Linked DNA regions of Elephas maximus indicus. The protein of the gene in region 1 interacts with the protein of each later gene in a pairwise test. Links are inferred from orthologs where the notes say so. Each region holds a gene or a part of one and is shown on either strand. Other genes may lie near its edges.

Evidence for each region.
Region 2: the proteins of OTX1 (region 1) and SPRY2 interact in binary tests that used the Homo sapiens proteins (3 or more experiments, as listed by UniProt). The two-hybrid records come from large-scale screens. The link is inferred for Elephas maximus indicus from reciprocal best matches to the Homo sapiens genes OTX1 and SPRY2.
Region 3: the proteins of OTX1 (region 1) and RGS17 interact in binary tests that used the Homo sapiens proteins (3 or more experiments, as listed by UniProt). The two-hybrid records come from large-scale screens. The link is inferred for Elephas maximus indicus from reciprocal best matches to the Homo sapiens genes OTX1 and RGS17.
Region 4: the proteins of OTX1 (region 1) and COMP interact in binary tests that used the Homo sapiens proteins (3 or more experiments, as listed by UniProt). The two-hybrid records come from large-scale screens. The link is inferred for Elephas maximus indicus from reciprocal best matches to the Homo sapiens genes OTX1 and COMP.

Annotation. Positions count from the first base shown.
Region 1 is NC_064835.1:73,744,880-73,752,180, forward strand, and holds the start of OTX1 (homeobox protein OTX1), read right to left. Parts: upstream 3,008-7,301; 5' UTR 2,923-3,007; intron 2,555-2,922; 5' UTR 2,486-2,554; intron 915-2,485; exon of another isoform or gene 877-914; 5' UTR 766-876; coding exon 669-765; intron 1-668. UniProt on the Homo sapiens protein: Probably plays a role in the development of the brain and the sense organs. Can bind to the BCD target sequence (BTS): 5'-TCTAATCCC-3'.
Region 2 is NC_064832.1:73,732,619-73,739,676, forward strand, and holds the start of SPRY2 (protein sprouty homolog 2), read right to left. Parts: upstream 3,010-7,058; 5' UTR 2,342-3,009; intron 1-2,341.
Region 3 is NC_064819.1:224,721,726-224,728,561, reverse strand, and holds the start of RGS17 (regulator of G-protein signaling 17), read left to right. Parts: upstream 1-3,813; 5' UTR 3,814-3,930; intron 3,931-6,836. UniProt on the Homo sapiens protein: Regulates G protein-coupled receptor signaling cascades, including signaling via muscarinic acetylcholine receptor CHRM2 and dopamine receptor DRD2.
Region 4 is NC_064821.1:38,665,961-38,672,994, forward strand, and holds the start of COMP (cartilage oligomeric matrix protein), read right to left. Parts: upstream 3,003-7,034; 5' UTR 2,988-3,002; coding exon 2,909-2,987; intron 2,660-2,908; coding exon 2,574-2,659; intron 2,288-2,573; coding exon 2,236-2,287; intron 1,668-2,235; coding exon 1,498-1,667; intron 825-1,497; coding exon 687-824; intron 467-686; coding exon 392-466; intron 307-391; coding exon 148-306; intron 1-147. UniProt on the Homo sapiens protein: Plays a role in the structural integrity of cartilage via its interaction with other extracellular matrix proteins such as the collagens and fibronectin.

The DNA.
Region 1 (7,301 bases):
AGTTAAAAAAGGGAGAGAAGTCAGGTAATCTCCCTTCCTCCACATCCCCTCCACTCGACACACACGCTGGCTGGGGGTGGGAGAAGGGTGTATAGAAACACGATCTGAAAACACTCAGAGAATAAATGGGGGTGCAGTAGTGGAAACTGGAAAAGAAACCCAGGGTTCGGCTCAAGCCGTCAGCTTCAGCAGTGGAAGAGTTGGTACAAGCCACAGGTCCAGGGGAGGGCCACCCTTCCTCAACTCAGCCTGCATGTTCACATAAGGGAAGTTAGGCCTTAGGGCCAAGCTCTTTCCGTTAGAGCTCACTGGGACTTCAGATTTCTCATTCGTTGCTGGGGGAAAAAAGTGATTAGATCCACAAAAGTAATAGCCACCCGTGGGAAACGAATCCGTGGGTAAATGCACTGTGTGGGCGATGGGAGCACAACAGTAGACAGGTTGCCCCCACGGTTGGGCTGGAAGGGCGATTGCTGCACCTTTTCACTGCCCTGGTCCATCTCACCCACCCCTGACTCTGTTGTCTGCGCCTGCAGCCAGCTTTGCATTGAAAGCAGACTAGGCAATCGGTTACCTGGGCCTACTCGGCAACAGGCTGCCTCAGACCCGAGAGACTGAGGATCCCTAACGTTTGCAAGGGCGGAGGGGCTGGGAGGGCCGGTGCTCACCCGGATAGCCCACGGAGGGGTGCAGCAGGTCCATGGCCGGCCCGGCTAGGCCCAGCCCGTTCATGCCATATGGGGGTTGTTTGAGGTAAGACATCATGCTAACAGCCGGGTGGAGGCGCCCCGACGGATCCAGGGGGCCGGGGGCCTGGCGCGGTGCGGGCTTCCCACCGCGCAATCCTTTGAGCTCTGTTGCGTCTGGGGGCCCGGCCTAGGAGACATGACACACATGGTAACCGTCAATCCAAGCCACCCTGGCTCCCAGGTACTGTCCGAGGTCAGAAACCTCGGGATGGGGAGGGTGCACAGGCTCCGGGACTGCACAGCGCCGCGGTCAACTCAGCTCCATAAGGCCTAAATCCAGAGACCACAGCTTTTTTTGAAAAATGAACTTTCCTGAGTCTCCATGCCTCTCTTGGGGCTTAGAATAGGCGAAAGACACTCGTAGGGCGGAGCTGGGAGTGAGGAGAGGTTAAAAGCCTGGCCGGGCTGGGGAGGTCTAAGCCCTCAACAAGGGGGAAGCAGGGTCCTAAGCCTGAGCAAAATTTTGAGTCCGGCGGGAGCCGGCCTCATGCTGAACAACCAAACGTTCATTCAGCCCCTGGCCGCAGGCTGCCCAGAACATGAAGGGTTATTCTGTTTTGTTTCTAATGTCTTGAAAGCGGGAAGAAAAGGTAGACACTCCCGAGGGCCGAGGTGAAGCACTGCGGAGGGCCGGCGCCCCTGGCCTCTTCTGGACGCGGAGCCCACTTGGGAGGCTTCGTTTCTTTAAAGGTTTCCGCAGCTGGGGCCCGGCCCCACCGTCCGCAGCCACCCCTCCAGATGACCTTTGTGCCTAGTCCCTGAAAGATCTCTCACCCAGAATCCCACCACACCTCAAGCGCAGTTACTGGCCCAGATCTCCCAGACACAACCAAAAGACGCAAAAGGGGCCACCGTAGAGGTGGTGGTTGCAAGACGCGGCCTGAGGTGGCGGGTGCCTCTGCCGGAGCCTCGGGCCCTTCTTCCGAGGTGCGGGCCGGGCCTTCTTTCTGCTGGGTCCTGTTGCTGACAACGGGGCCCGGGATGAGGCTGAAGCGTGACCGGCTCGGCGCTCCAAAAGACCTCGGGGATTTGGGAGGCCTGGATGTAGCCGATCCCCTGAGCTCCCCTGCCTATCCTGCTCCCTGGACCCCGCGGCCCCGGGACCTGACCGAAACTAAAAAACTAGGCCTCAGAGGCATAACCCGCGAGCCCCTAACTGGAAGGTTGAAGCCTCGTTTCCGCAGCTTCCCAAACCCGAGGCTCTAGTGTCAGGGGTCAGGAAGGGGCGCTAGGAGTGGGGCTGGAGCCCAGGGGCCCTGTCGCTTCATCCCGCTTCGCAGGAACTCTCTAAAGCGGGCCTTGGAAGCTGGGCTAGGAAGTTCAGGGACAGAAGTTAGAGCTAAAGAAGCCCTTGCCCCGGTCCTCCGGGACTTGCGGCCTGGGTTTACAGGGAAGGAGAGGAGGAGAAACAGCCTGGGTTCTTGGGCCCAGGGAGAACGGGACTCCAGCCACCGCGGCTCTGTTAGGCTGCTGCAGTGTATTCAAAGACTTTCTCCAAACTTAGCACTTCAGCTCGCTCACTTCGGAGGAGGCGGGGGAGACTGGGCGGGCGGGAGCGCCGGACTGTAGTCGCGCTCTGGGGTCCTCCACGCACCAAGAGGGGCGCCAGGCCGATTCCCCCCAGCCCCGCCCCCCAGCCCAGGACCTGTGGAAGCCGGAACCCAGTTGAAGAGGTGGAAGCAAGAGCAACCGACGCGCTCCCCGCGTCCCGGGAGGCCCCTGGGCTTTCTCCTTACCTGCCCTCAGTTGTCGCGGCCGCTCACCATCTACCTCGCGCCCTCAACGAGACCCTCCGGGCAGCCAACCTGCAAAACAGAGGGGCGCAGGAATTACCCGCCGGACTGGACGAGGCTGGTCTGGGACCCCCGATTTCTTTCTTTCTCCAGTTTCCCTCTTCCCATCTCTTTCTTCCCTCCCAGTGGCTTTATGTGTGTCCCTCCAAGTTTCATTTTATTGTACAGACACTTTGTTGGCAAAACCCTACACGCTCCTGGGACACTGCCTCGCCGGGGATCGAGCTGTAGGGCCGCAGGGAGGAGGTGAGGGGGTGCGAGGGACAGAGTTGGGAGGAGGCTCGCGGTTGTTGCTGCACTCCTGGTACAGGAGGGAGGCGGTAGGGGCTGGGGAATTCTTGAACAGACACTTTGTAAACTAAATAAATCAAGCGATTTACCTTGTCGCAGTGGCTTGTCTTTCTCGGTTGTTTAGGTGATTGGAAATGTAGCCAGATGAAGATTGATCACCTTTCTACTGCCCTCCCCGAGTATGTGAACGCGAGGCGAGTGCGTAACGGGGCTAGGCCGCCAATCGGGGGCCCCGCGCGGGCTGAGTGACAGGGAGCCGGGCAATGGCAGCTCGAGCCGAGGGTTACCTCCGCGCGCCCCCGCCCTCCCCCGCCCCCTGCACCCCGCTGTCCCCACCCGCCCGCCCGCCCCGCCCCGCCCCGCCCCGCCCCGGTGGCGCGCTAAGTCCGGGGCTCGACTGCCAAACGCCGCGCAAAGCCAGGCGAACGAGGAGAGCGCAACGCCGGAGCCCCGGCCGCAGAGGGGCGCGGGTCCCGAGGCCTGGCCCGGGGCCCCCGCCCCTCTCCCCCCTCTCCCGCCTTCGCGGCGCGGCCGAGGGAGTGGCGGCGAGGTGCTGGAGAACCGGTTTCTTCGCTCTCCCGCGCGCTCACCCGGCTCGGCGGCCCGGGTATGGGCGCGAGGACTCAGGGGCCGCGGACTCGAGGAGCGTGGGCCCCAGGCCCCTCTGGCGGCTGCGCGGGCCCCAGCGTCTCCTTCCCAGCGCCGTCACCTGCTTGCGGACGCCGCGGGCGGCTCGTGCCGGCTCCGGCAACTTTGCAGAGCGCGGGAGCAGCTCCCAGCGCGCAGATGCCTTCTCGGCGCCTCAAGACTTCTGCGCTGGGAAATGGCACCCGCAAGGGAGACACCGCAACCTACCTGCTTCTCGGCGTGCCCTGTTCCCCGAAGGGTGTTTTTAGATTCTAAACGCTTCTTCTGAAACGTTCCAGCCCAGCGTCCCTTCCCCCTCACACACACACGCTTCTTCTGAATCGAAAGATTTTGATAGGAAACTTTCTCTTTCCCACTCTGTCTTGCTCTTCTTTCCCATTTTCAGCTACCAGGGACAGTCTGGTCAAAACGTGGCCACAGGCCCTTGTCCTCAACTTCTTTTCCACCTGCCCCGGAAGTAGCCTCCTTGAAGCGATTTTCCCGGGTTGTTCCTACTGGCGAAGCCTATTTCCCAGTCGAACAAACTCCTACCCATCCACCTTGGTGGATTTTTCAAAGCAGAAAAAGCGTTTTCGCCCCCAGCCTTGAACAAGCCAGTTGTTTTCAATGGCACCACCTTCTGAATACTAGGCACGACTTTATTTCCTTTCGAGGAATTCCCATCCCTTCTTTCTAATCCCCCCACCCCAGCAGGCGGAGGGAAAAGTTTGAGCAGCAGTTAAGTGTGAGGGCGAGTCACGGAGCCGATAGGCGCATGGCTCGGGAGCGCCGACACGGCCGGGGCGCCGAGTCCGGCACCGTCATCAGCCCGGGGGCTGGGCGAGGAGGAGGAGGAAGGGCAGCCCACTGAGTGAAAAGAGGCCGCGGCTGCAGCTCATCAAAGTGCTTCCCCCTCCCCCCAAGCGACACTTTCCTTTGGAGTCCGAATAAAATACGGTAACAGAATATGATGGAGGGCACACTGTTTCCTTAACTGCTTCTCAAAGAACCCGGGAGATCTTCTTAGGACCTTAATAAGGCTTTGGTCGGTTCTTTTGTTGATCTCTCAAAATCAACTCCTTCTAATTGAAGTTGGAGCTGAAAGCGAGCTAATGTTCAAAGAAAGTGGCCGCCAGACCAACGAAATTACATTTTTTTTTTTTGACGATGAAGGAACATCTAATCAAAGGGGCAGGGAAGGAGGGGCGGGAGTGGGGGAGTACGAAGGAGAAAAGGAGGTTTTACAAGATCCTTCTCTGGTTCACAAAAGTCAGCGACACGGGCGCTTCTCTCCAGAACAAAGACACCGCTGCCCATTCACAAAAGGGAGAGAAAGCGAGAGAGAGGGAAAGCAGAATAAAAGAACGAGGGGAAAGGAAAAACATGATGCGGGGGGCGGGGGGAAGCTTTAAGGGGAAAAGAAACTGCGCTGAGCGCATCGTTGGCCCCCGGAGCGGACACACTCAGGCTTGCGCAGGCCCCCGCCAGGGGCAGCCCGTGCGGCCTGCAGTCAGCAGCCCCGGTATCGGAGCCCGGGAGATGGTGCTGAGAGTTAAAGAAAGAAACGAAAGACACCCCCGCCCCCAGTTCCGGGGCAAGGCGCTGGCTGGAGCTCACTAGTTTGGAGGTGGGGGAAGTGTGCAAGCGTCCAGGAGCGCGCGCCGGCGGCGTCCGCATCCGTAGCCCGGAGCAGCCACCCGGGCCTGCGCGCTGTGTGCCCGGGTTGGCCTGCCTGCGCCGGAGTGCGTGCCCTTGCCCCAGTGCCGCAATCTCTCCGTCTCCTGCTCCTCCGGGCCCTGTTTCGCCGGCAGCCGGAGCCTTGGTCCAGGACCAGCCCGGCAAAATGGGGAGGCGGTGCGCGCTGGAATGTGTCGCGCGGTCCCCAGGGCCCGCCGAGCGGGAGTCCGACGCTTTCGGCTCCAGATGCTGCCACCCGTCTCAGGAAAGTCGGGAGGTATCAAGTAGCATGGAATTCCCCCCCCCCCCATAAGAGTATTTATCTAATCCCAAATTGCAGGCGAATTTTCTTAATGCTCAGCCCATAAAACCCCGGGATTAAGAGAAGAAAAAGAGAGAGAGGAGAGGGGAGAGGGAGGAGAGCGTAAAGGGAGAGAGAGGAAAGTTTCTTGTACGCTGTGCAGAGGGCTGAGGCGGCCGTCGCTAGGCAAATGTCCAGGTGGGAGACACCGGGCCAGAATCTGCGACCGTTCCAGCAACGGCCGCACCGCGGAGACAGCGCCGGGGGAGGGGAAGCGGACCCAGCTCAAGGCCTCCGGGCCGGGGAGGAGGCGATAAAGCTGGGCCCCGGGGCCCGGATCCCGCGCCCAGGTGACCTCGAGGCCCGGCCAGGCTCTGAAGGACACTTAAAGCAAGCGGAGAGGTTTGGCTTCGGGGCCGAGGGATCCTGGCCAGGGGCGGAATTTCCGCAGCTGCCCGCGGGCTGTGCCCTAACCAGCCCACCGCCAATGCTCCTCCTCCGCTGCGACCTCCGAGCCCACTGCCTCTCTTCCTGCAGCGCGGGCTTTCGGGTTCCCAGCCCCTCGGCGTCCTGGGTCCGCGCCCGCGGCCCGGAGCCGGCGCCCGGCCGGACGCAGCCAAGTCCGGACGAGGCGCCCTAGCCCGGGGCCTGACCCCACAATCCCGGGGTCCGCGCTCTGCTGCCGCTACGGGGCGTGCAGGCGCCACTAAGCAGCCCAAATGGGAGCCCTGCGAGGCTCGGGACCGGGTCAGGAGGGGCCGGGAGCGGGTCCGCACGCCCGCCCCTACCACCCTAGCAAATACAGGGCTAGGGAAGGTTTGGCACTTGGTAGGTCGGGCGCGGCTAAGGGGGTCCGCCTCTCGGAAAGGCCCTTCAGGGGTGAATGGTGCCCGAATCCGTAGTAAACCGGGTGGGTGACGCTGGCCACCCGAGCCTCAGGCTGCTCGGGTCGGGCGATTTCTGTGTGGCATCCTTCCCTGGGGTTAGAGAGCGTTTCTGAAAGCTTCCCCCAGAGAGCTGCAGCTAGCTGTGCTCTCCTGCTGGGGGGGGGGGGGCGCAAATACACGATGTCACTTAACGCCGATAACTTTTCCATAACTTTTCCTAAAATCCTTTGCTTGAAGGAATTTTACCGCGGCAAGTTTTTGTCATTTTGAAAGACTAGCAATTGGAGACAACTGCATACTTTTCGAATACAGTTTTGTGTGTGTCTGTGAATATATATGTGTGTGTATATGTTTCTGTGTATGTATATATATGTGTGTGTGTGTATATATATATATATATATATATATATACATTTTTTTTTAAAGGCTAAATGCTAGCGGACTGTTTTCTTTAAATCTCCAGACTTGTTGAACAGCTTTCTTTGTTTGGAACCTCTCTGTAGAGGAGTGACTGGAAACTACCATAGAATCACCATTTTTTTCCCCTGTAGCCTGTACTTCTTGTTAAAAGTTCATTTTCCCTCATCTCATACACACACACACCTGCACACAATACCCCACCCCACTTCCCCTACAATCACCCTTTTCCTTTTACAGCTCCTACAGACTTGCCTATTATCAGAAGACCTAGTAACAGGAGTGCAATACTGTAACAACTGAAAGAATAACATGGAAAATTCATCAAGATGTTACCATTTTTCAGTGATGTGGAATCACATATTTCCTGCAATCTTTAATAAAAGAGATGACCCTTTTTCTGGATGATAGTTTACACTGCTTAAGAAAATATGACTAATTGCTGTTCAATTCGAATTCATATGTCAGCAGGGCCCCTTTGGGATGGTGTAAACTTACTCACCTCCAAATACAGCCTGCACTGCGTTCCAGAGATCCATTTTCCACATGGCAAGTCTTA
Region 2 (7,058 bases), on another chromosome or scaffold:
AGAAATAGTTATAAATTTTACAAGCATGCCATTGTGTATGACTATATAACAGCACAAAGATATGGGATTAAAAACAAATCAATTCAAATACCATTAGGTGCAAGGAACACATTAAATCAAACTTACACAACAAGCAACCAGACAGGAACTTATTCTCAACCTTCCAACAACTTGAGAATCAAGGATCTCATAACCTGATAGCCTAGGAAAAATACCTTAGATTCTGCAGGCCAACGGTTACTGCATCCTGCTGCATATAAGAATTATGTCAAAATCTTAACCGATTTGCTTGTTTTCCAAAAAACTTACAGTTGAGAACATAAATCAACTGGAAGAGGAAAAAAAAAAAGCTTTAAAAATTCAAGTGTCACATCTTGAATTTAGCATTTTGACAAGTAATCCCTTTAAACTGTAATCCTTCTGTAAGTTTCCAAACTATTATCCCCCTTTCCATGATTTCATTAAAAAAAAAAAAAAAAAAGGAACCTTATCCAACCTCTCCTTTTCAGAAAACAGAACCACAGCGAACAGGGCAGGTGACACACGCCTAGCAATTCGGGAACAAGACAGAGCTGGAAGCCAGATCTCCTCCTTACCTCCAGCAGAAAGACAAGACAACGTTGCTCTCTGCTTTCATTCCATTTATCGGTTCTATCTGCGCCCCGACGCCGTCCCCAGCAGGTGGGACTCAGCCGGAACCTCGAGAGAGTTTTCTCCGAGCGGACTGACGCTGCCCAGGGGCCAGCCCCACCCCTTCCCACCGTGCACGATCCCCAGGCCGACAGAAAGGCGCGCGGGGTGGGGGGGTGGGGGGAGGCACGGGCGCCTCCAAAAGGGACGTGTCACGAAACGCAGGAGCACGCTTCCCCCGCCGCCGCTCCCATTACCCCAACTGAGAGCCGCCTTCCAGCCCCAAGAGGGAGCCACTCCACTCCTAGGCTGGGGTCACACACCCCACCGTAGGGCGTTTTTGAAAAGGCCCTTGAGCGCGGGACCTAAGTTTCCAGCACCGACGCGGCGAGGAAGAAAGCCCTGCCTAAGGTACACAGCCCTGACGCCCATACTTAACCTCGCGCGACTCCACGCTGCACTGACCTAAGTGGACACTGTATGCAATCTGCACACTATTATCTACTTTCGGTGTAGAGAAACTAAACACACACACACATTTCTTAAAGATAGAAATTGTTTTAAGAGTTTAGGGCGCTTTCCAAGGCGCCACTGCACTCGCCGCGCAGGCAGGACTTAGATGCCTGAGCTGCAAACATTCAGCGCAGATGTGACTGCAAGTTGAGAGCAGCATGTTAAAAGAAAGTTAAGTAGTCTTTTTTAAAGTGATTTCTGTCGATTCTTGGTCTCCTTCTTCCCAGTCTTCCCCGCCCCACCCCCGCCACTTAGTGCGTTCCCAGTCCCCCCAGCCCAAAGTGCTTTGAAACCCCCATTAATAACAGTGTGTGATCAGACTATGGATTAGGAGGAAAGGACTTCGGTACTAGGGTGGGGCAAACCCACAGAGAAACCGCTCTGTAAAAACACACAAGATACCGAAATTTAAAAATAGCAACAGCAACAAAAAAAATCAGCCCATCAGAGGAAATGAAAAAAATAGCCTCTTTTGCCACCCATTTTCAGATAATGGAAAATGATCGCTACCACTTGATGACTTTCTTCCTGTGCTGGGTCAGCCCAAGCTTCCAAAAATAAAACCATGACCCAGGCCGACCACGGAGAACGGAAAAAAGAGAAAGCGCCACTTCCAAACCGCAGAGACACGGCGCCGGGCAGGGAGACGCTCCCACCAGCACAGGGCTCGCCCCCGTCCACACCAGGCAGAGGCGGGGGCCTCTCTCCACCCGCGCACCCTCGGCCCGTCGGAGCCCTGCCTAGGGACAGCGTCGCCTAGGACTTGCCTGCCCAGGAGAGAAACAGGTTACAAATCCCCGCGCCTGCAAAGACGACCTGGAAAACACAAAATGCTTTCCCTCTCCCGGCTCTCAGAGTCCAATTCGCTGCCCTCGCAGGGCCAGGAGTTGATTCCTGAGAACCTGATCGTCGTCCCAACCCACCCCCCACCCTCCCGAGCGCGGGTGCGCGGGGTCGCCGGGCTAGGGAGGACGCGGGGATACTGCGCGGGGTGTGCACGGCAGTCCCCGCTGAGGCGGGCCAAGACCGAGTCCGGGACGAGGCAGCTACCCCTGATCCCCGTGGGGAACCTGCGGGGTTACAGAAAGGGAGATCCGAGGTGAAATGAACCCCACTCGCAGTCCAGCTGCACCTACTCCATGTTGCCCGCGACACGCCGGCCACGGAGCCAGGAGGGGAAGAGCCAAACGCGCCTCACCGTGATCGCGGCTTTGCACCAACTCCTCTCCCTTGGATTCTCTTCTAACTGCGATGTGCAAATAAATCCAGCCTCGACGCAAACTTTTTCCCCTTCTTTCCAAACTCTGTTTCAGTCCAACTTCCGAGCAATCGGCGGATGAAACGTAAAGAAAACCGGGTGCCAAGTCGCTATCCGATGAACACTCCGGTGTTCGGGGATAGAGTCGACCCCCCTTCTACAAGCGCACGCGGAGTATTTCCTCTTTTTCTCAATGAACAGGAGGCCGAAGCGCCAACGGCGAGTCTCTTTCCCTGGCAAACGAGCGAATGAGACAAGAAAACGGCCTTACAGAGAACCTAAAGCCAGATCGCCAAGTCGTGCGGTCTCAGCTGTGTCGGAGCGGTGGCGGCGCGGGGGCGCGAGTCGGGCCGGACGGGCGCGGGGGCCTGGGCGCTGCGCGCTCCGCCGGCCCCTGTCCTCCGCTCGCGCTGCGGCGCGCAGCTCTCGGCGGTGCAGACTGGGCGTTGCGGAGGCGCGGCGGCGAGGCCGAGCCTAGGGCGGTGGGTGCGGAGGAGGAGGAGGAAAAGGAGGAGGAGGTGGGCCTGTGGCCCGGCCGGGGGGGGCTCGCCGTTGGCCTGCGCCCTCGCCTTTCCGGAGGAGGCAGGGAGCTCTGCGGCCGCCGCGGCAGCAGTAAATGGCGTCATGTGGATCCGAGGCGGAACAGAGCAGTTGTTGTCCCAGAGGATATATCGCATCCGGTCCCAGCTCATTGGCTCCGCGGGGCTACATTCACTCACACTCCAGCGCCCGCCAGCGCTCCGAGCCGCAGGAGGCATTCAAAAGGGCAACCGCGCCGCCCCGCGCGTCCTCTGGCCGGTCTTGCAGCCGGGGCGCCGTCACGCGGGGCGCTCGCGGGGCTGGGCTGGGCACGGCGGGGTCAGTTTATCTAGTTTCAAGGAAACACTGACCTTAAGGTTTTCCCAGAGGCCATGAAGACGAGCCATAAGCTCGGTCTGACTTATGGAACTTTCTCCCCGCCACTAGGAAAGGGGAGTGAACATTTACAACTCATCCCAGCTCTGCAATGTTCGCATTAAAAACAAGTTGCATGCAGGTTTTAAGACTTTATCCGGAACCGACTTCAAGTCCATCTCTCCCCTTTTCTGTCCCCCCTCCTGCGGGGAGGGGGAGCAGGGGGAGGAGAGGGGGAAAGGAAGGGAGCGGGAAGTGAGGTGGGAGGGCTATTGGTTTATTCTTTGTCTCCCGGATTAACCCGATTATACACCAGGCACCAGCACAAACCGCCTCCCCCACCTCGGAGCCGAGTACGGGAGGAACGGAATGCAGATTCGGGCTTCAAGTCCCTTACTCTCTTGCCGGGGTTTGCTTTTGATTGTTTAGATTGGTAGTTTTTCTGTTTAATAGGTTTAATCGGTTTTGGTTTTAGGAGGGTTAGCTATAGATGGAGGCGTTCTTAATGATTGAAGAGCATTTTTAATGATTTGTTGGGTGCAAGGAAATTCTAAAATTTAAGCCTTCTGGAAGTAGTTAATTCAGTAATACTCAGAGCAACATCGTGGGCTTCTGAAATGGGGAGGGTGCCACTTGCACTTCAGGTTTCCTTCTTCACTCAATCAGAAGGCATCCTTCATTTCTGTGTCTCCTTGTTACCTAGCACACTTTTCAAGAAGATCCTATTGTCCGTCTTGAAGGTGAATTGTGTTTTCCCACTTAAGAATAAATAGAAATACAAAAATGTAAGATGCATGCATATGTTCGTCTCTGCTGTTTATTTACTTAGAAACGTGCTTCACGTGGAAGCACAAGTAGAAAATTAAAACACCAATGATACTTTATTCTACCTAATGTCTTACAGAAATATTTTCCTTTACAGGAAAGTACCTGCTTGTAGGGGTCAACATTCCTAACAGCACCTGCGAATTTGTCCCCATGCGGGGTGGGAGTTCTTGAAGCTAGAAAAATGTGGCGCTGGATTCCCCCAGTCCAGCTCCGGCCCACATCCGTACGCAGCTACCTGGCACTCGCTGGCTTCTCCAGAGCTCTGGGTCTGGGATGCCCTCGCACGTTCCCTGTCTCGCTGCGCTCTAGCCCCGCTTTCGCCTTGTTTCTCCAGGACTCTCCCCCGCCGCCCCAGGTTTGGAACTAGAAGTGGCAGGGGAAGTAGCATGCGTTATTTCCGGACGCTGGCCCACGTTCCCAACCTTATGAGTGGAGAAAGGTGGACGAGGCTACGTCCGCTTCCACCGCGGCGTCCCCCGGGCTTCCACCGCGCGGCGGAGGGGCCTCCCTCGCCCCCGCTACCCGCTGAATGCGGGAGTCCACTGAGCCTCCGGGTGAACTGAGGCGCAGCTGCGTTACGGCCCGACAGACCACCAGGGGGCGCCCGGGGGGGCGCAGGGCTGCGCCTGCTTTCTCCACGAAGCACTGCACTCGACGCGAGCAGAAGGGGGTTGCTTTCCAAAATGTGCGTCAGGCCGGCTGATTCAAAATGGAAAAAAAGAAAAAGGTGTTTATAATTTAAAAGCCACAGAAGGTAGCTTTCCTCACCATCTCTTCGGATCGCAGAGCGATTGCGTTTTGAACGCGAGGTGAGGTACTTAGGAAGGACCCTTGCTTTTACTAAGGGTAAGGTGCTGGGGCCACAGCCAGGTTGTGCAAAGCTGGTGGGACTGTGCTGCTGGCGTCTAGCTAACAAGGTTAGGGCAGAGCAGGTGAAGGAAATGCGTTTTCTTCGACCCTTCAGACTCCTGCACGGTGGCCGTTTCTATGATACAGTTGTATCTATGCCTTTCTCCCAGAGCTGCAGGAACTTTGCGAAGACACGTGGTCAGAAATCAAAGCATAAAATGGAATTTAAGTTAGGAACTTAAGGCTAGTTAAAGAGCCCCTTTAAAACAAAAAACAAAAAAAACTGTTTTTAGTCACTCTGACTCATGGCGACCCCATGTGTTAAAGAGTAGAACTGCTGCCTAAGGTTTTTGAGGGTGTAATCTTTACGGAAGCAGATAGGCCTTTCTTCCAGGATACCTCTGAGTGGATTAAAACTGCCAATCCTGTTTAGTAGTTGAGTGCATTAGGTCACGCAGGGACCTTAGAGCACCTTATATTTTTATTAAGCCAGTGGAGAAGAATCTGTAATTCATGTTTGTCTTGCATGAACTTGAAGAAATACCATGTAAACTAGCTCCCCTCTCCTTCCTGCGCACCCTCCGGCTTGCTGGCTGGGAAAACATTCAGCCTGTAACTTATGCACAGAGTTAAAACAAGAATCTGTTGGATTCTTTCTCATTTACTTCTTAGTCTTTATTTTAATTAGTTCAATTATTATTTTTTCAGATAGTGAAGGGCGGAGAGCTATTTTTTGTGCTCTAAAGGTTACTTGTAGTTCTGGTGGTGTAGTGGGTAAGAGCTCGGCTGCTAAACAAAAGGTGGCAGCTGGAATCCACCAGCTGCTCCTTGGAAACCTTATGGGGCAGTTCTACTCTGTTCTGTAGGGTCACTATGAGTTCGAATTGACTGGACAGCAATGGGTAGGTAGTAAAGTTCACTTGGCGAGTTATAATCCAAAAGAAGAATACAATATGAGGTGTTTAGTGCAACCATGATAATGTGTCCCCAAATTGATTCCCTTATTGCGTTCCGAAATACATAACTTGGATTAACGTTGTGAGGTATTGGAGAATCATGATGGAATACTAGATAAAACTTCACAATGAAGCTCATTTTCAGGTGTGTTGTGGAAGGTTCTAGAGAGGCCGTCCTGATGCATGAACAGATGTTCTTATTTGCCTAATGTTGAAATTTACTGAAACCATGGAAACCTGTGCTGCACCAATACCTCCGAGTCATTGGGACTCACCAAGTAACGTGCCTTCCTACTTCTTGCCATTGAAGACTGTGTACCCTACATTTGGGATTTCATCTTTGGCTTCATTTTATTTTCTCTAATTCCTCATTTATTTGTATTTGCTTTTGTTTTATTTTATGACTATAATCTTCTTCTTTTTTAAATTTTTTTTTAAACCAGATCAGTGTAGAAAATGCATGTCAATTTTGCCATCTCCTGTCTTGGGTAGAATGTGTCTATGGGGCCGATGTAGACAGGATTCTTTGCTAGTATGTGTGTTGGGTGAGTTAAAGTCAGGTATTATCAAGGTTGCACTTGGCCACTGATCTAAACTTCTGATTTATGCCCTAAACATGGAGGCACTATGAGTCAGAATTGACTTGAAGGCAACTAGCAACAATAACAATAGAAGAATACAGTTTTAAACAAATCAACATCTCTAGTTCTAGCTTCTGAAATTGCTCAAGCCACTGATTTCAGCCTTAGAACTTGATGTTGTTGTTACTGCTATTTGCCTTGGGGGCAGCTTTGACTCATGGCAACCCCACGTACCATAGAACAAAACGCTCCTCGTGATCACTGGCATGCTTAAGTCCATGGTTGGTTTGCAACCTAGGGGGCTTATCTTCTAGTTTTATGTTGAACAGTATTCTGTTTTGATCCATAGAGTTTTCCTTGGCGAGTTTTCAGAAGTAGATTGCCAGGGCTTTCCTCCTAGTTTGCCTTCGTCTGGAAGCCCTGCTGAAACCTGTGCACCGTGGGTGATCCTGCTGGTATTTGAAATACCGGCTGCATAGCTTCCAGCATCACAGCAACACGAAAGCCACCATAGTATGACAGACTGATAGAAGGTGGTGATGGAACTTT
Region 3 (6,836 bases), on another chromosome or scaffold:
GCATTATCCTGACTGAAATACTTCAATTACAAAAGGACAAATATTGTATGAGACCACTACTATAAAAACTCATGAAAAGTTTACACACAAAAAGAAACAATCTTTAATGGTTATGAGGGAGAAGAGCGGTGGGGACGGAAAACCACTAGACAATAGATTAGTGGTTACTTTGGTGAAGAGTAAGGCAGTACACATGGAAACACTGGTGGTGTAGTGGTTAAGAGCTATGGCTGCTAATCAAAAGTTGGCAGTTCCAATCCACCAGGTGCCCCTTGGAAACCGTATGGGGCAATTCTACTCTGTCCTATAGAGTCTCTATGGGTTGGAATCAACTCAACGGCAATGGTTTTTTTTTTTTTTTTGCCTTTTTTTTTTTAAGGCAGTACTTTTTTTTTTTTTTTACACAATACTGGGGAAGCCAGCACAACTTTTACAAGGCAAAGTCATGGAACCTCCATAGGCACATAGCATCTGGGGTCTTAAAAGCTTGTAGGCGGCCATCTAAAATACTCCACTGGTCTCATCCTGTTGAAAACAATGGAGAATGAATAAAATGAAAGACACATGGGAAAGATTAGTCCAAAAGACTAAAGGATCACAACTACCACAGCCTCCAGCAGAGTGAGTTCAGCACTAGATAGTGCCCAGCTACCACCACTGACTGCTCTGACAGGAATCACAATATAGGGTCCCAGAGAGAGCTGCAGAAAAATGTAGAACAATATTCTAACTCACAAAAAAACAACCAGACTTACTGGCCTGACAGAGACTGGAGAAACCCTGAGAGTATGGTCCCCGGACAACCTTTTAGCTAGTGATGAAGTCACTCCTCAGATTCACCCTTCAGTCAAAGATTAGACAGGCCCAGAAAACAAAACGAGACTAAAGGGGCAAACCAGCCCAGGGGCAAGGATTAGAAGGCAGGAGGGGACAGAAAATCTGGTAACAGGGAACACAGGTCGAGAAAGAATGTTGTGGGGCTGGTAACGAATGTCACAAAACACTATGTGTACTAATTGTTTAATGAGAAGCTAGTTCTGTAAACCTTCATCTAAAATACAACATTAATAATAAAAAAAAAACTATTCAAGCCTTGAGTTGCAATTTTGAAGGATTCAATGGGGAAAATATTAAATGAAGCAGAAAGCATCAAAAGAAGATGGAAGAATACAGAGAGTCACTGTACCAAAAAGAATTGGTTGACATTCAACCATTTCAGGAGGTAGCATATGATCAAGAACCGATAGTATTGCAGGAAGAAGTCCAAGCTGCACTGAAGACACTGGCAAAAAGCAAGACTCCAGGAACTGACAGAATACTACTTGAGATGTTTCAATAAAGAGACACGGTGCTGGAGGTTCTTGTTCCCCTATGCCAAGAAATTTGGAAGACAGCTACCTGGCCAACCTACTGGAAGAAATCCATATTCATGCCTATTCCAAAGAAAGGTGATCCAACAGAATGTGGAAATGACAGAATAATATAATTACTATCACATGTAATGAAAATTTTGCTGAAGATAATTCAAAAACGGTTTCAGCAGTACATTGACAGGAACTGCCAGAAATTCAAGCCGGATTCAGAAGGGGATGTGGAACAAGGGATATTGTTGCTGATGTCAGATGGATCTTGGCTGAAAGCAGAGAAAACCAGAAAGATGTTTACCTGTGTTTTATTGACTATGCAAAAGGCATCATAACAAATATGGATAACATGCATAGACCAAGAGCCACTTGTTGGAATAGAACAAGGCGATACCGTGTGGTTTAAAATCAATAAAGGTGTACGTCAGGTTTGTATCCTTTCACCATACTTATTCAATCTATATGCTGAGCAAATAATCAGAGAAAGTGGACTATATGAAGAAGAACGGGGCATCAAGATTGAAGGAAGACTCGTTAACAACCTGTGATATGCAGATGATGCAACCTTGCTTGCTGAAAGCGAAGAGGATTTGAAACACTGATGAAGATCAAAGATTACGGCCTTCAGTATGGATTACAACTCAGTGTAATGAAAACAAAAATCCTTACAACTGTACCAGTAAACAACATCACTATAAACAGAGAGATGATTGAAATTTTCAAGGATTTCATTTTACTTGGATTCACAATCAATGACCATGGAAGCAGCAGCCAAAAAATCAAATGACGTGTTGCATTAGGAATATCTGCTGCAAAAGATCTCTTTAATGTGTTAAAAAGCAAAGATATCACGTCAATGACTAAAGTGCACCTGTCCCAAGCCATGGTATTTTCAATTTTCTCATATGTATTTGAAAGCCGGACACGGGTAAGGAAGACTAAAAAAGAATGGATATTCTTGAATTATGGTGCTGGCGAAGAATATTGAATATATCATGGACTGCCAGAAGAATGAACAAATCTGTCTTCAAAGAACTACAGCCAGAATGCTCCTTAGAAGTGAGGATGGCCAGACCTTGTCTCAGGTACTCTGGACATGTTATTAGGAGAGATCAGTCCCTGGAGAAAGACATCATGCTTGGTAAAGTAGATGGTCAGCAAAAAAGAGGAAGACCCTCGATGAGATGGATTGACACAGTAGCTGCAACGATGGGCTCAACATGGCAACCTCTTGTGAGGATGGAGCAGGTCCGGGCAGTGTTTCCTTCTTTTGTTGATAGGGTTGCTATGAGTCAGAACTGACTTGATGTTGATGGCGCCTCACAATAACAACGGTGAACATTTGCAGACCAGCACCAGTCAGGGGAATATACTGTAAAAAGCACTAGTATTCAAAAGTCAAGGATGTTGCTAGAGAAGAAATGAGTCAAGTAGAAGGTGAGAGAGGGAAGGTTGGTTAGCAAAGGAGCCTGACATAATGATAAAAATGTCTGACTATATGAGCATGCAAGCAACGGAAATCATGTATACTTACAAGTAATCTGCTTTAAAAAGGGATGAGAAAAAAGCCTAATCATTCCTGCCAGGAACTCACTCCTCTTCCCACAGAGATCATATCGGATGAGAAAGACACCCGTTTCCTAATTCTTCCTTCCGAACACTTCAATCTAATCATCTAATCTAGCGCTCATGATGCATTAAAGTGTCTGAACGCTCCTTTGCTACCATGCTGGGCCCCGCTTGTGACTAGAACAATTATCAGATCTGATAGCTACCAAGCTGTTCCCAAAGGATGCCCAAGGCCCCAAGTATCCGCACTTCTGTTAATCATTTACCCACGGTTTCGCCCACTCAAATCTCTCGCTGCCGTGGTGCAGACGCCTGAGCCAGCAAATATGCCCCAGACCAGAGTCACCCGAGCGCTCTGAAATAATTCTTGGGGACAAGGGTCCTATTTCTGGATGACGAAGCCAATAAAGTAAAGGACCCTCGATAAAGCAAAACTTGCTTCACTTTGCACGTTCTAGAACTCCACACGGGGAAAGCTTCCACGCGGAGCCCGGTGCTGCGCCCGGTTCGCTCCTTTTCAGCGTTCTCCTACAGCCCAGCATAAAAGAACGTGGGCTGCGGGTGAACGCGAAGGTGCAGGAGCCCCCGCACCAGGTCCCGGTGCCCCCGCGCCCCGCAGACCGCGCGCCCTGCCCGGAGCCCCGCCGAGCCCTCCGCACAGTGGGCGCGGCCATGCGGGCGCGGGGCCGGGCCGCGGGCGGGAGGGCGGGGCCGTGACTCAGGCAGCGCCGGGGCGGCAGCGGCCCCTCCAGCGGCGCCGGGCGGGAGGCTGCGCCCGCGGCGGGACGCATGCGCGCTGCCGAGCGGCGCCCGCTCCCTCCCGCCCGCCCACCCTCCTCCTCTCCCCGCCCCCGCCTCCATCCTCGCCTGGCTGCCTCTCGTCGCCGGCTGGGTGCTGAAGTTGGGCGGATGGCAGCGCACCAGCGCCGCTAGAGGACCGAGCCGCCCGCCCGCGCCCCCGGACCGCTCGGTGCGCTGCCCACCCTCCAGGCACTGGGTAAGAGGTGGCCGTGCAGGCTGAGCCGTGCTAACTGTGTGACAGCAAAATGTCTGCTTAGGCTGAGGGGTGCGTGTGTGCCCGCGGGGAGGAGGATGGAGGACAGAGGACAGAGGGGGCGGAGAGCGCTGCCCTGCCCGCGGGGCGCCTGCGGGCCGGAGTCCCCGCGGGGAGCTGCTCGGGGAAGTTGGAGCCGCGGGGCTGCCCAGCCGCTCCGCTCGCCGCCCTGCAGCTGCGGCCGGGGGTGACCGATGTCCGGCGGCGGAGGGAGGGCGCCCTGGGGGGTCCCCGGCGCCCGCGAAGAGCGGCGCCCGGGGCCAAGGCGGGGAGCGCTGGGCGGGGGCGGGCCTGGGGGCGCCGGGTCCTGCGGGGGAGGGGGCGTTTGTGATCGTTTGGTTCGGAAGCCGACTGTGGAATTCAGGTTTTTAGCGACCCATCTCCTTCGGGTAATACCTTCTCTCCCTTACCTTTCTTTGCCTTTGGGAAAATGCACTATTCAGGTGAGGAAGGTGTAAGCCGGGGAAGGGTTTGCAAAAATGAGTACCTTTAGCAGCGATCAAGTGTGTGTGTGTGTGTGTGTATCGAGGCTCGGGGTCTCTTTTGTTCCTTCCCCTCCTCGTAGTCACAGGAAAGGGAGTTCTGGTGTGGGTTCATGGGGTCGATTGCACAGCCAGCGAGGGGGCGAGGAGGAGGAGGAACGCCCACCAGCCCTCGAACCGCTGCCGGGGTGGGTGTATCGGAAGCACCCTCACTGTGGGTGATGGGGATTCTTCTTCTTATTGATGGAATCGGTTTAATAGCTGCCTCCTCGCCAGCCTTCTCCTCCTTTGCCTTTTCCTGGGCTGCGGCAGAGGCGGGGTGCAGATATTGCTCCTCTTCTCTCTACCTCCCGATCTCCCTGAAAAATGTCGGAGGACTTGAGGATGGCGGAGGGAACGAGCTGGCCACGCAAGCCACGGATCGGGAGATGCTCCCAGCGAGCGGGAGGTGACAGGCAGCGCGCCCGGGTAGCCCGCTCCCGCCTTGGGAGTCCCTGGGCTCCCGGAGATGGGGCAGGGGTCGCCTGGCCAGAAAGATGCCCGCAGCTCGGGGACCCGCCCTTCGCCGCCATCCGGAGCCCGGGACACCGGCTCACCTGGTTTTGTCTAGTCGCTCCGGGAAGACGGACTCTGGCTCCAGGCATAGTTTCCCTAACCTCCCTGACCCTTCGCTAAATGCTTCCTTCTGTAAAAGCGTCGCTGGAAGGTTTGTCTAGAGAACTTTGCAAGCTTCCCATAGTTTTTTTTTTTTTTTTTTTTTTTACATTAAGATTCTTTCCATCCTGGAATAGCAATTAAAAAAATTTTTTTTAGATTACAAATAATAAAGAAAAAGCGTATAGTTCGGTTTCCATCTAGAATAAGCGTTTCTGAGTCGATGACATCTCCATTTCCGGTGTTATACGCACTGGTTTTCGGCGTGATACGCCGCTCTGAAAATCATTTAATTTAAGATAAATCATTTTTACTCTTGGAATTGAAAATAATTTTCTCCTGGATTCATAGCTGCTAGATACTTAGGTGGAAACCCTGGTGGCGTAGTGATTAAATCGTGCAGCTGCTAACCAAAAGGTTGGCAGTTTGAGTCCACCAGGCGCTCATTGCAGACTCTATGGTGCAGTTCTACTCCGTCCTACAGGGTCGATATGGGTCGGAATTGCCTCGATAGCAATGGGTTTTTGGTTAGATACTTAGGTGTATCAAGTAATTTTGAAAACTGGGAAACACTTGAAGTAATACAGGGTCGATATGGGTCGGAATTGCCTCAATGGCAATGGGTTTTTGGTTAGATACTTAGGTGTATCAAGTAATTTTGAAAACTGGGAAACACTTGAAGTAATTTGTATTTGTTTCTAAAGTCTTCTATAGGAATAGTAGTAGATGCCCATTATGGCACTAATACCTAATGAAAAAGTGATTTGTAGTCATTAATTCCAATGATTGAGAAGTTCAACCTTCTCCAGTTAAGTTACTGTTATTGAGTTATTTTTTCCGTTAGCATGAACTAAAGAAAAAATAATAATTAGCACACTCAAGGAAGAGTAGATTTATTCACTCTTTTTGTCATCTTGAAAAGTATATATAAGGCAGCTATGAAAAAGCAGTTAATTCCCAGTTTTCGGAAATGAGGAAACAAGTGTTTATCATTACAAAAAGACTGGGTGATATAATTTCTTAAATAAGATAAATCTCCATAGCAATGACACATGGTCCCAGAACCCTGGGCACTCATCCTTCCCCTGAAACTGTAGTCGGAAAGATTAAGAAAACCACCCAGTTTACAGAACAACAAAGTGTCGTTGTGCCAATTTCAACCATTTTTGTTCTGGTTCCTCAACTACTGTTTGGTGTTCAGTCCCCAGGTAAGGGAATTAACAGAGTTAATTTGCAGGTCCTGCTTAGTTCTAAGTCACCTAGCTTTTCCTTCTCAAATAGGTATCTCATTAGGTTTAAGAATATTCTTGCTGGATATTAATTTGCTTGAACTCATAATGTTGAAGGTCTAAGTCCATTATTACTCCTGTGGACTTCTTATACTTTTGCATTATCATCATAATAATGAAATAATAGTCTTCCTTGATATTTCCTACCACTACGACTAGGGGCTTTGAAGAAAGGGATAAATAAATATTCTTAGCCATTTGGCCTCATGATAACAATCTAATAAAAAAAGATCTAAAGCTAAATTGATAAAATTCTGGCTGACTCATAGGCTAAAGAGTAAGAAAGCATCTACCTGTCAATCCACAACTGTAGAGATAATGGCTTTCAGACTGGAAGTCCATTAACTGAAGCACATAGGCTTTTCTGGAAAAATGGAAGGTGGGCATAGGTGATGAGGCATGGAGCTTAAGAGGAATGGGAATA
Region 4 (7,034 bases), on another chromosome or scaffold:
ATGAACGGGTGCGCGTCCCCTCAGGGCTGCCCCCGCCCCCTTCGACACGCCCTCCCACGCCCGCTTAGGCCGCCCCCCAGCTCCGGGCCGCCCCTGGCCCCCGCCCCGCCCACACCCCTGCCGCCCCGCCCCCCCGTCCGCACTCACTACGCACGACCGAGAGCCGTCGCGCTCCAGGACGCAGTCGGCCTTCTCGTGGCATGGACTGGGCGTGCCGTCCGGGCAGAAGCGCTGCGGACGCCGCTGACAGCCGGACTCCTGGTCACCCACGAAGCCGGGCTGGCACGGCCCGCACTGGAAGGAGCCCTGCGCGAGGCCGCAAGCGGTCAGCGCGGGCCACAGGCTCTCCCACCCCGTCCCTATCCCCGTTCCCCAGCCACACCGGACTCACTCGCGTGTTGACGCACACAGAGTTGGGGACGCAGTTATGCTGTCCAGTCTCACACTCGTTAATGTCCGTGCACACCTGGGAGGGGAGACGCAGAGGTCACCGCCCACTCAGACACCCCACCCTCCCACCACTCCGCTCCTCCTAATTCCTCTCCGCCCCCCAGACCTTAGTCTCCTCCTCCTCCCTGTAGCTTTGGGGCTGGGAAGAGGTACTGGGGCTGATGGACTTGTTTACTGAACGAAAAGGGCCCCCTTCCTCCTGCATAAGTTGGGACTGGCGCCCCCGCGCCCCTCACCTGCTTGTTGGCTTTCGCGAAGGCCAGCCCCACGCCCTCGTGTGCGGCGCCGCTGTACCCGGGCGGGCAGGCCTCACAGCGGAAGCCGGGGCTGGTGTTGATGCAGCGGACGCGGGGGAAACAGGGGTGGGCGTTACACTGCGGACGGAGGGGTTGCAGGGGGTCAGAGCGCGGCGCCTCGGAACTTCCCAGGCGTGAACTCAGACATCTCAAAGGTCTTCAGTCTGGACTTGCAGGGGTCCATGGGATGGGCAGGGGCGCCATGGAGGCGGGGGTGGCGGAGGCAGTTTTCCCAGGGATCAGACCTGCCTTTGCTTAGTTGGGGAGGGCACTCCTGGAGGGGGGCTGCTCCCAGACCTGGTGGGCAGGGTGCTCATGGGCGGGGGAAGGGACTTCGGTGGCGGGCGTCCCCAGCGGCGGGAGGGAGTGGTCGTTGGAGACGCCGAATCCGTTGGTTGGGGGTTGGTCGGGACCGAAAACCGCCGGAGGTGGGAGGGTTGTCGGGGCGTGAGCCCCTGGGCAGTGAGGGAGATCGTGGGGGCGGAATCACCCCGGCGGTAGGGGGGGCGTCGTCAGGGCCCGCACCCTCAAGAGGTGAAGGGGGTTGTCTAGGCGGAATCACCCCAGCGGCAGGGGTGTCGTCGTCGAGGGGGACACCCCCAGGAGGTGAAGGGGTTCGTTGGGGTTCCGCCCCAGCGGTAGGGGGGTCGTCAGAGCGGGGATCCTCGGCAGTGGAGGGGGTCGTGGAAGTGGGGGCCGCCAGCGGTGGAGGGGGCGTCCGGGCGAGGGGGGGTGTCGGGGACGGGCGCACCTCGTTGACGTCTGCGCAGTGCGAGCCGTTGCCGGTGAAGCCCTCAGGGCAGGGGCCACATCGCGCGCCGCTCGACGTCTCCGTGCAGACCACGCCCGGGAAGCAGAAGCCAGGTGCACATTGGGGCAGGGGCCGCATGCTTAGGCCGGGAGTGTGCGCCGACTGCATCCCTGCGTAGGGTGGGAGGGGGGCAGGACCGGACGGTCAGGACCACACCCCGGGAGTGGGCAGTGAGTCAGGACTACTCCGGGAGGGGCAGGATGGGCAAGGGGCGGGGCATGGCGATGAGGACCCCCACCCTGGGAAGGGGGAGGGGGAGTGGGGTGGAATCAGGATCCCACCCCGGGGGCGGGGCAAGTTGACAAGACCACACCCCAGGGACGGGGTGGGTGATCAGGACCTCTCCCCGGGGGCGGGGCGGGCAGGACCACCAGAGTAGGGGGTGGGTAGCCAGGACCCCACCCCAGCGGCAGGGGAGACCCCGGCTCCACTCTTGGCCTTCTGGGTGTCTCCTAGCCCCCCTCACCACATTCCCGCGCCGCTCCTTTTCCCCTACTTTGCCTCTCCCCACGGTGTGTCTCTCCACTTCCCTGCATCTCTGCGCGGTCTCTGTGTCTCCCACAGTCTGTCTCTCCCCGTCTCTGTCTTTCCCTCCTTGTCAGTCCCTCGGTCTTTCGCTCTGTCTCCTTTTCTGTCTCTCTCCCCCCTTCTCTCTCCTGCCCGCCCCGCGGCGCTCACCGCACGCGTCACACTCCATCACCGTGTTTTTCAGGAACGTGATCTCCTTGACCTGCGGGGACGGGGGCTATCAGCGGGGGCTCCTTCCCATCCCTCGGGGCCCCTTCCGGGCTCCCCCAGTTCCTCCCCTTGGACCTCCTTTCCACAGACCGCCTTGCTTCTCCCCCCCCCCCCACCATGTTCTCTCACTTCCCGGGACTCCCTCCGCTTCCCCTGGTCCCCTCACCCCCTTTCTCTAACCCCCTTGCCTCACCCCGTTTACACACCTCCCTCCCCTAGACTCCTCTCCCTTCCCCCCCAACCCTGGCTGCGACCCGGGCCCCGACCCCCACCCGCACCTGCTGCCGCAGCAGTTCCCGCACGTCCTGCAGAGCCGCGTTGGTCTCCTGGAGCTCCCGTAGCATCTGCGGGGCCAGGTCTGCGTCTGCGACGTCAGGGGGCGCTGGTGGGGCGTCGGGGTGCGGAGACTCCCGCCGCCTTCACCACCGCCCCGGGGACCTGTGATTCTCACTCTGCTCCTCTGGTTCGCCACAGAACTCAGGGCTCCCGCCCCCCGACACCTGCTTTCTCTGCCCTTGAGCGCCCCAGCGAACAGCCCGCAAGCCCCCAGGAAATCCGCCCTTCGGTCTCCCGCAGGCCTGCCCCCCGTCCCCTCGGGGCGAGCGCGGCTTACCCAGCTGGACCTGGCCCTGGCCTGACGCGACGAGGGTGCCCAGGGCGAGCAAGAAAACGCAGGCGGTGGCATGGGCCATAGCGGAGCTCTGGGTCGGTGGCGCAGCTCTGCCACCCACGAGGCCGCAGGGCTTATTTATCCAGCGGCGCCCGGGGACGGCCCACCGGCGGCCCAGCCCAGCCCAAGGTAAACAGACGGGCGGGGTGCCGCTGGCCTCTGCGTTCAACGTCCAGCCCGCCTGCCAGGCGGCGAACCAGGCTCAGGGCTGAACCGGGAAACTGACTCAGGGGGCCTGTGAGGGGGGGCGGTGAATGGGGAAGTCAGGCGGGACCACCCCTCCAGTCCTCCCGCTCATTTATTGAGCGTTTGCTGTGTGCCAAGCCTGGGGCACAGCTGGAAGCCAGGCTGTCCCCATGGTGGCTCCCACAGCTCACACCTGGGGAAACAGAGTCACAGTGACTGGATACAGGCTTTGGGGTCAGACTTTATAGGATCAGGCAGACCCACCCTCTGCACCCTCCTGACTTGCTTCTAAACCAGGCAAGTGGGCCAATGACTTGGCTCAGTGCCTCAGTTTCCCACCATGTGCAATGGGGCAGTAAATATTGTTGGTAATGATGTTAATGATTAGAGGGAAATGATGAGGGCAGAGGTGTGAGAACAGGGACTCTCAGTGTTCCTCTACAGGTCCTGGTTCCCTTGGCGATGGCAGCTGAGACCCCTGCCCACTCTGCTACACTTTTCCCTCCTTGAAGTTCTCCAGATGGGATGGAGAGAGGAGTCTGGTGGCCCATGCACCCGAAGCCCACCCTTATCTGTGCCTCAGTTTCCTGATCTGTGCAATGGGATGTTAGTGCCCCGCTGGGGGTGAGCCCCCCTCCAGAGGGGATGGAATTAAGGGCTCCAGTGGAGGAGCTCCAAGAGGGGGCCCAGGGCTCATGTTTGTTGAGGCTGCACCATACCTTCGGAGCTGAGCTCCAGCTGCTGTGGGAACAGCCTGTAGTACAAATAAAAATTGCTGTTAATCAGGAAAATAGTCCCTTCCAGACCAGCAGCGCTTTGGAGCTCCTACAAAACACCTGGGATTCCTTCCATGAGTCGGTTAACCCTCACTGACCCAGCCCTCCAGCACTCACTGCTTCTGTTCTATAGACAGGGAAACTGAGGCCCAGTGAGAGGAAGAACCTGACTTATGACCACTTTGCAGGACAAGGGTAAAGCTAGAGTCATAGCCAGATCTATTCTTCAGAGGTTGCAGAGAAGTCCCTGAGGGCTTCCTGGAGGCAGTGACAGTGGAAACATGAAAGGGAAGACTCAGGTCAGTAGAGGGAAAAGGGCAGAGGGAAGCTCTTGGGTAAAGGCTTGGAGGTGGGGACATTTTGGGCGCATTCATTGTTTTTTACAGGTGTGTCTTGAGCACATACTATGTGTAATGACCCACCATTACAATTAGTGTAATATAGTTATAAATCTTGACCCCCTTCACCAGAGCATTTAACTCCATCTCATGATGGGCACTGGGGACACAACATGAACAAGCCAGACCCGCTGCCCTTCCCTGATGAGACGCCCAGTCTGATGATGAGGCAGCTACGTAATCAGACAGCGACAACACAGAGATATCAGAGCTTTGATGGAGGATGCACAGTCAGCTGTGGGAGCTCTGAGGAGGTGCTTGACCCAGACTGGAGGTGGGGAGCAGTGAGGGTAGGCTTCCCAGAGAAGGAGGGGACACTAACACTGAGACCTGGAAGATGAGAAGGACATACTGAGCAGAGAGATGGCGGAAAGATGTTCCAGGTCGAGGGGAACAGCAGAAGCAAAAGCCCTGAGGTAGGAATGAGCCGAAATATGTCAGCAGCTCATTGCAGTGCTATTCACAATAGCCAAAAGGTGGACACAACCCAAGTATCCGTCAACACATGAATCGAGAAGCACAATGTGGTCCATTCGTGGAATGTCACTCAGCCGTAAAGATAAATGAAGTCCTGATACATTCTATAATAGCGATGAATCTCAAAAATGTTATACTCAGGAAAGTAAGACACAAACACAAAAGGACAGATATTGTATGATCCCGCTTATGTAATATATCTAGAATAGGCCAGTGCATAGGCAAAGTTTATTAGTGATTACCAGGGGCTAGGGGAAGGGAAAATGGAAGGTTATTACTTAAGTTTCTATTTCACGCAAACCAAACCCACTGTCATCGAGTCGATTTCGACTCGTAGCGACCCTATAGGACAGAGTAAAACTGCCCCTATGGTTTCCAAGGCTATAAATCTTTACAGGTGCAGCCTGTGGCTGATGGATTCAAACTGCCAACCTTTCTGGTTAGCAACCAAGCGCTTTAACCACCGCACCACCATTTGAAAATGGATAGTGGTGAATGTAATTAATGTCACCAAATTATACATTTAAAAATGGTGAAAGAGCCTAGGAAGACAGGCCTGGCGATCTAGTTCTGAGAGGTCACAGCCTTGAAAGTTCTATGGAGCAGTTCTACTCGGCGCACATGAAGTCATCATGAGTCAGAATTGACTCAGTGGCAACTAGCAACAACAACAAAAAAGGTATATAAAAATGGTTAAAATGGCCAAAATTTTGTTACATGTATTTACTAGAATTAAAAAAAAGAAAAAAAGGGATGTTGGGGTGGTGAGAGCTTGAGGTTCAAGGATAATCAGGAAATGGATTATGGAAGGGCAGTGCCAGTGGTATGGGGCTCAGGTATCTTCTGAGGGCAATGGGGAGCCACAGACGATGAGTGAGCAGGGACAAGCCTTCAGGAGAGGCCAGGTGGCTGTAGCCAGCCCTGGCCCGGGCACTTCCTGCAAAGCCCGTGCCCCGACAGTGCCTGCCCTGCCTGCTGCCTGTGGCCGGGCCATGAGCTCACCTCCTGTTTTCCTTGGCATCTGGCTCACCTGAGGGCCGCTCCCGGCTGGTGCTGGAATTCTCGGGAAAACCACAGCTCGGGGCAGGGCTGGTGTGTAGCTCGTGTATCTGGGACAAGGGCATATGGAAGCCAGGCCCTTGCCACAGGCCCAGCACAGGGCTGGGGCTTTGACACACGTGGCCCCATCTGTGGCTGGGCCATGGGGAGATGCAGGGAAGGGCATTCCAGGCAGAGGAAACAGCAAAGGCGGAGGCCCTGAGGATGCCCCAGTGTGCACATTAGACAAGGGAGGCCCAGAGAAGGGCAGCTCTGGTTTCACACTCCTGCTCCCTGAAACCCACCAGTCATCATCCTGAAACCCCCCTTCCAGGAACCAGGCCCCTTCTTCCTGCACACATCACGCCAGCCTCACATTAGAGAATAGCTCCTGCTGGGTGCCTTTCTGTGCCTGTGTACACGCTGTTCCTGATACCTAGAATACCCTCCTTCAACCTTCAAGGCCCCACTCCAATGCCCCCTCCACCAGGGAGCCCTCCCTGACCCCCCTGGGCAGGGCTGAGGGACTGATGCCCTTGTGACTGGTCCCCTGGGATCCCTGGAGACCCCCAACTGAGTGTTCCTGGTAGAGGAGGTTGGGATGGGGTGACCCTCCAGTTCAGCCGTGTGTGCCCTGTCGTTACCAGCTTGGGAGCCCCTGGGAAGGTGGGAGGGCTTGGTGAGCCGTGGCCTACAGTTAGTTAGGGTAACATCATTATCATTCCTTACACTTAATGTAACACTGCTACTGTTAATAAGACCAGCATCAGCCACCACTGTACTTTATACAGCATTCAAGGCCTGGCCTGGACCACACAACCTAGGCTTGAATCTAGCCAGGCATAGCCTTGCTGTGTGACCTAGGGCGAGTTGCTTGACCTCTCTGTGTCTGCTTGCCTATCAAATGGGAGTGAGAATTTCAGAGAAGATTGAGTTAACATGTGCGAAGTACTTGGCCCACTGTCAGCCTCATCAAAGAATATGTAGCTTATACAACACCTTAGGAGTCCCTGGGTGGCACAAATGGTTATGTACTTGATGACTAGTCCAAAGGTTGGCAGTTTGAACCCACCCAGAGGTGCCTCTGAGGACAGGCCTGGCAATCTGCTTCTAAAAGGTCACAGCCTTGAAAACCCTATGGAACAGTTTTACTCTGCATACATGGGGCCACCATGAGTCAGAATCACTTTACGG